2 linked regions of the Drosophila melanogaster genome follow. The protein of the gene in region 2 purifies or fractionates together with the protein of the main gene of each other region. This does not show direct contact. Each region holds a gene or a part of one and is shown on either strand. Other genes may lie near its edges.

What was found.
Region 1: the proteins of RpS5b (region 2) and Rpt2 purify together in Drosophila melanogaster (affinity purification with western blotting, with the first as the bait; one study listed by BioGRID). This does not show direct contact.

The regions. Positions count from the first base shown.
Region 1 is NT_033777.3:23,929,483-23,933,259, reverse strand, and holds Rpt2 (regulatory particle triple-A ATPase 2), read left to right. Parts: upstream 1-1,701; 5' UTR 1,702-1,933; coding exon 1,934-1,936; intron 1,937-1,997; coding exon 1,998-3,314; 3' UTR 3,315-3,367; downstream 3,368-3,777. Other genes in the region: RpS19b (ribosomal protein S19b), read left to right, coding at 1-170, 241-402; CG13599 (uncharacterized protein), read right to left, coding at 599-1,204, 1,266-1,547; CG31142 (uncharacterized protein), read right to left, coding at 3,368-3,745. UniProt on the Drosophila melanogaster protein: The 26S proteasome is involved in the ATP-dependent degradation of ubiquitinated proteins. The regulatory (or ATPase) complex confers ATP dependency and substrate specificity to the 26S complex.
Region 2 is NT_033777.3:14,899,932-14,903,171, forward strand, and holds RpS5b (ribosomal protein S5b), read right to left. Parts: upstream 1,633-3,240; 5' UTR 1,547-1,632; coding exon 1,022-1,546; intron 967-1,021; coding exon of another isoform or gene 949-966; exon of another isoform or gene 890-948; intron 764-889; coding exon 596-763; 3' UTR 501-595; downstream 1-500. Other genes in the region: VhaPPA1-2 (vacuolar H[+] ATPase PPA1 subunit 2), read right to left, coding at 1-346.

The DNA.
Region 1 (3,777 bases), 9.0 Mb from region 2:
CTCCTACCGACGACGACTGGTTCTACACTCGCTGCGCCTCTATTATGAGACACCTGTACCTGCGCAGTCCCGCCGGCGTTGGGGCCTTCACCAAGGTCTATAGCGGGCGCAAGCGCAACGGTGTTCGTCCGTCCAAGCACTGTCGCTCATCGGATGGCTGTATTCGCAAGGTGAGTGGGAAATGGTTGTACTTTAAGGTTATATTTAATATTACTTAGCATGTATCTAACACATGAGCAGGCTCTTCAAGCCTTGGAAGCTGCTAACATGGTGGAGAGGCACCCGGATGGTGGTCGTAAGCTGACTCCGCAAGGACAACGTAACTTGGATCGCATAGCCAACAAGATTGTGGCCAAGCAGCGAGAGCGCAGTGCACCAGTTTCCATGATTATCACTACCTAAGATGATAATACCAATACCACGATGGATCATCTTTGAGTGCCTTGGGTTTTCAAAACATTCTCAATAAATCGAAACCAAAAATAAAATTAAACAATTATATACATAATAAAATAACTTAATACTTGAAATATAAACGATTCGAAACTTTATTTTTGACACAAACACGCCGAATAGCAAGAATCCAAGTTATAAAATGTTAGCTAGACCACAAATCTCCCGATTTTTGGTTGCCAGGAGCTCTGAAACCGCGAACTATGACCTCGGCCTGCCACCAACCGCTGGTTTCATTTGCTGCTTTCAAAACGTCATGCTCTTCGTTGGTCTGGCTAACGTCTTCCCCAGATTTATCCAGATTCCGCACGCCAAGATCGTGGTAAATATCCATCTCCTTGCAGCAGCGTAATTCATTCGGTGTGTTTTCACTGCAATGCAGTAGATGCAGGTGTATGTTCTTGCAGCTGCGCGGAAGTTGGCTTAATATATGCTTTGGGATTAGATTAAAGGAGTCACAATGGGATCCTTGGGGTCGATCGGAGTCTGTAAGGAGCTCCATTTCTAGAAACACGTTGGTGACTTTTAGTTCGGTGGAGAATAGCCTGTACAGCTCCTCGCAGGTGAGCAGGCGGAGCAGCGCCTGGTTGATGCGACCTTCGGGCAGAGCATGGTGCTCGCAATAGTGATCTCTGGATATGGAATCATGTGGTATGTGCAGAGTATAGGCCTCCGAGGGCATGAACATATTGTTGCCAAAAAGAAATCGCAGGCTCTTCACTTCAGAGCTCCTGAAGGCTTGTCGGATGATCTGTAGGAGAGAACTGGCAAGTAAAGACCAAAAGAAGTCCTGGATGTAAGGGGAACCTCACCTCTCTCATGTCACTAATAGATTCCTTGGTGGCCTTTGCCTTAGAGCGCTGCTGGTTGCGTTGGTAATGAGCAAAGGACTCCTGATCCTTGGATTCTCCCGATTCATCAGCATCTGACCATTTATCCACATAATATTTGTATGTTTTGTACACGAAGGGGATTTGCCGGCGTTGATAGAGCAAGAAGTCCAGGATGCCATTCACGAACTCCGCTGTTGTCCCACTGGTCAGAACCTCAATGTTATCCAGTTTAAGATCAACATTCTTGACATTTTGATCCATTAAAAGGTCGCAATATAACAAATTTAAACAAATGCTCTTTTCGCACTAATTGCAAACGTTGCCAGACTGAAACATTCAGTTTGTTTACAGTAATCGATAAGTATATAAAACAGTGACTTTTAAAATTTGCTTTTTTCAAGTCTTGAATTCATTTATATTTTGGTTGTTAATCATTACTATTGTTTTAATCCGATTGCTTAAGCATTTCTTGCCTATTTTAATTTTCACGTTTTTTTAAAATATTTGTTCACCCTTAGAGTTGCCAGACCTTCATGTTTCCATAGTACGGCAACACAGCTAACGCGAATGACTAGTAATTTTGTTGCCGACAATAAAGAGTAAAAAGTTCATCAAACGTTCGGCAAAGCAGCAAGCACCAAGACAAAATGGTAAAATAGCACCTTCAGAACACCCTGAACTCATTTACGATCGGGAACAATACATTTGCAGGGACAAAACCAATCGGCTCAAGGGGGAGCTGGCGAAAAGAAAGATGACAAGGATAAAAAGAAGAAGTACGAGCCTCCAATCCCAACGCGCGTTGGCAAGAAGAAGAGGCGCGCAAAGGGTCCAGATGCGGCCATGAAGCTGCCCCAGGTCACGCCCCACACCCGCTGCCGCCTTAAGCTGCTCAAGCTGGAGCGCATCAAGGATTACCTGATGATGGAGGACGAGTTCATCCGCAACCAGGAGCGCCTGAAGCCCCAGGACGAGAAGAACGAGGAGGAGCGCTCTAAGGTTGACGATCTGCGCGGCACCCCCATGTCCGTGGGCAACCTGGAGGAGATCATCGACGACAACCACGCCATCGTGTCCACATCGGTGGGCTCCGAGCACTATGTTAGCATCCTGTCCTTCGTGGACAAGGATCAGCTGGAACCAGGCTGCTCCGTGCTGCTCAACCACAAAGTACACGCTGTAGTCGGAGTTCTCAGCGACGACACCGATCCAATGGTCACGGTGATGAAACTGGAAAAGGCTCCGCAAGAGACTTACGCAGATATCGGTGGCTTAGACACTCAGATCCAGGAGATCAAGGAGTCTGTTGAGCTGCCACTGACCCATCCCGAGTACTACGAGGAAATGGGAATCAAGCCACCCAAGGGCGTCATCCTATATGGGCCTCCTGGTACGGGCAAGACCCTGCTAGCCAAGGCAGTGGCCAACCAGACCTCGGCCACTTTCCTGCGCGTTGTAGGCTCAGAGCTGATCCAGAAGTACCTGGGCGACGGACCCAAGCTAGTTCGTGAGCTCTTCCGTGTGGCTGAGGAGCACGCTCCATCCATTGTGTTCATCGACGAAATCGATGCAGTGGGCACAAAGCGCTACGATTCAAATTCTGGTGGCGAGCGGGAGATTCAGCGTACTATGTTGGAGTTACTGAATCAGTTGGATGGTTTCGATTCGCGCGGCGATGTCAAGGTGATCATGGCCACCAATCGTATCGAGACCCTTGACCCGGCGCTCATTCGACCCGGTCGTATTGACCGCAAGATCGAGTTCCCGCTGCCCGATGAGAAGACCAAGCGCCGCATCTTTACCATCCACACATCTCGCATGACGCTGGCCGAGGACGTGAACCTTAGCGAACTGATCATGGCAAAGGACGATCTATCCGGCGCCGACATCAAGGCCATCTGTACAGAGGCTGGCTTGATGGCGCTGCGGGAACGCCGCATGAAGGTGACCAACGAGGACTTCAAGAAGTCAAAGGAGAGCGTCTTGTACCGGAAGAAGGAGGGCACGCCCGAGGGTCTTTATTTATAAGTCGCGCGAAGATATACTTTCAAGTTAATTTTGATAATTCCCAAACACATGCATTAAACCACATTAACACTAGAATCGCTCCCCGATGTGAATAAATTCGTAGTTGCCGGGAGTTGCTGTGCCAGTTTTCCTAGGAGGTCGTCCACGTAGGTCTTTTGTTTTTCGGATATAACGTTGAGTGGAGCGCCTTGATGCTCCAAATATGTGAAGTGTGCTTTATTTGTTGCATCTGCCAGTTGGAGTTTTTGATAAGCTTCTCGTTCTGCATTCCATTCGGAGCTTTCAGCTCCCGCCGCATTGCTTATGGTTTCATAGAAGGCACTCAGTTTGGCCAGTTCGAATCCAGTTTTAAAGCCATTCTCAAAGCCTTCATCGAAGCTCTCTTGGAAGACCTTTTCCCTGCCATCGGCAACGCCATCTGCATAGCTTATCTTGATAGGGAAAGGGTATTTAGAAGTCGTGT
Region 2 (3,240 bases):
ACAGCAGGATGGCCGTGATCAGGCCATAGATGGCCACCGCCTCGCAAAAGATGACTGAGATCAGGTTCTTGGTCTTGATGCGAGGCGATCGCACTCCGCCGCCCGCCACACTGCATCCAATCATGTAGATTCCACTGGCGGCGCCCAGAACGGACAGGGCGCAGGCGAGGAAGATGCCCATGCCGGACCACAGGAAGGGATTCGAGGTGTACAGGAACCAGCCGAGCCCCATGCGCTCACCCATATTGACCATCACGTTGGCGAAGATTATGCCAACCGCGCCCAACGAGGCGGCGCCCAGTACGAACAGCATAAAGAATAATCCAAAACTCATCTTAGAGATCATCTTTTAAGCGAAAAGCTTCGAATTAACAGAATATAAAGAATCGATTTTAAGTTGGCACGGTGGAATGAAATCTTTTCGAACTGACAGGATAATCATTTCTTATAGAACATATAAATGATATGTAGAAATGAATGCCAATAAAAACAGAAGGAATAAAATACATTTGTGTATTTAGTTAGAAGATGAAATGATTACATAGCAACTTATGTAAGTCGGCATCAATTCATGGAAATGCAGAAAATCCGCAGCTTAACGATTCGACTTGGCCACGCGCTCCAACTCGTCCTTCTTCTTGATGGCGTAGGAGTTGGAGGATCCCTTGGCGGCGTTGATCAGCTCATCAGCCAGACACTCGGCCACCGTCTTGATGTTGCGGAAGGCAGCCTCACGTGCTCCAGTGCAGATTAGCCAAATTGCCTGCAAAAAAACATTCAGTTATTAACTTTATTGTGTCAAGTTCTATTTTGACTTATTATAATGGATAAAAATAACTTTCTGCTACTGCTTTCTAATTATTTACATTGAAATCGGTATGTATTGTACCTATTATTTTAAATTTAAGCAGTGTCCAAGTGCCTGTAAGAATTACGTAGATAACTTTCTTAACTACAAGAAGTTCCCTGAAAATGACTCATTTTAACTTCATACGACTTTGTGGAATGCGAACACGATTACCTGGTTGACACGACGCAAGGGCGACACATCGACTGCCTGGCGGCGCACAGTGCCGGCGCGTCCGATTCGCGTGGAGTCCTCGCGCGGACCGGAATTGACGATGGCGTTGACGGTGACCTGAAGCGGATTCTCCGAGGTTAGCAGATGGATGATCTCGAAGGCGTGCTTGACGATGCGGCAGGCGAGGAGCTTCTTGCCGTTGCTGCGCCCCTTCATCATCAGCCCGCTGGTGAGGCGCTCCACGATGGGGCATTGGGCCTTGCGGAATCTCTTGGCCGCATAGCGTCCGGCGGAGTGCGGCAGGTAGCGGGCGAACTTCTCCTTTACGGCAATGTAGTCCTGCAGCGAGATGTCGCTGATGGAGATGTCGTCGCAGGCCCAGCGCCCGAAAAGCTTGATTTCCGGCCACTCGGTGACCTCCTGGGCCGGCATTGTGGTAACGACATCGTCAGCCCAGTCCTCCTGCTCCTGCGGTATAACCTGGCTCGCCTCCTGGCTGCTGGACTCCACCACTTCCTCGGACATTTCGGGGAAATTAATTCGAGCTAGATCTCAAAAGGCGTGCGACTTCGCGAAGCGTTCGGCGCGGAAAGAAAGAGGATGAAAAAGAAACGGTAAAAGGAGCTGTCACTTTCAAAATGGCCGCGACGTGCAACACTGCGCCGAGGGGCTGCCAACTTTGGGGCCTTTTTTTGGCGGGGGTTCAAATTTCAGGATTGCCCTTTGTGTTTATTAGATTACACATTGTTATCAAACTGGATTCGTTATGGCAGGTACCAAATGATCTAATTCTTTTATTAACATTAATTTTATTGACATTTACTTTTTCTTATTGTCCACTCCACCGATATACTTTTAAAAACTTTATTCTTAGATTAAGAACATTATTGTTTATTTATAACTTTGGTAAATTAGTTCCGTAAGACTGCCTTTTCAGAAGTCGCTGAAAACGCGAATGAACCAAAAGTGCCCATAATTTAAATGCACATCACCATACATATATGCTTGGATAAACAAATGCAGCAAAAGCTCGGGTTCTTTTTACTGCTGACTTAACATAAGCTGCTAGTATTGCTGCTTTCCCATTATGCACTGATACACTGAACGAAAAGTTGATTCAAATAAGTTTAATTCGTAATATTCATATCCCTCTTCCTTGTTCCTGAGTTCGTTTATTTCCTTCCTCCTTGTTCCAAAGCTTGTTTAATAATATAATTTTTGCACCAAACTGAGAACCATTTTATAAAACAAATAGGTGCCATATATATGTATGAATGATGTGTGTAACGCACTCATAACATTTTAGCGCGTGCTTCTGATATCTGATAAGCCATCGCCGTAGTCACACTCTCACACATATTGATAAACAAAACGTATATATTTTATTTGTTTTAATATGGAATACTTTCTATAATAATAATAATGCGACTGTGCAACCATCTACAACTGCTGCCTCAAACAGTAGCTTGAAATATACAAGTTTATCGTTTTGCGGTAGTAAATATAATACATTTTAAATTAGCCTTTGAAGAGCCAGCGTAGAAACAAACATAACAAACTGCTTAAAATCAAACACAGACACACACACACGATGTCTTTCGTTTGGCAAAGAAATGAAATAAACAAATCACGGTCGTTTTCACACCGTGCACACTCCACAGTCGATTGAGTGATGCTGGTGACTGCGAGCGTGCGAGGCGTGAAAACCAACTGCCAACTTAACCAACTATCATCTTAATGAGTAACTAAGTCCTAGTTTAAAGCGTTACGGCTGATCGGATTTCGGTTTGTCGGGCGTCTCCTGCAAGCAGTAACTGCGTATAGCGAGTCGTAATTTCCAAAAAAATACACAAACACTGATGTCGTGCGTGTCTGCATGGGGATGGGGGAATGCTCTGATGTGTGTTGTTCTTCGTGATGATAATGGAGTGGCGAAGGCTGCGGGAGAAGAGTGAAAGTTTATTTCGCGGCTTGAGTTTGACTGAGGTCGAGACTATAGCACTCGTAAAACCGAAGGATTGGCAATCAGGAGTTCTATTGCTTAGGTTTCATAAAATGCATCTCAGAGAAGAGCTGGTAGCTCCTCTATGTTTATGCGTTAAATGAACTTATTACTTAGTTTATCAAACAAAAAGTGCGTTACAACATTCTCTTAGACGCGAATCGCGCAATGCAACCTACAAGTTATAAAGATTCAGTTGTTCCGTCGCGAGTGCTAT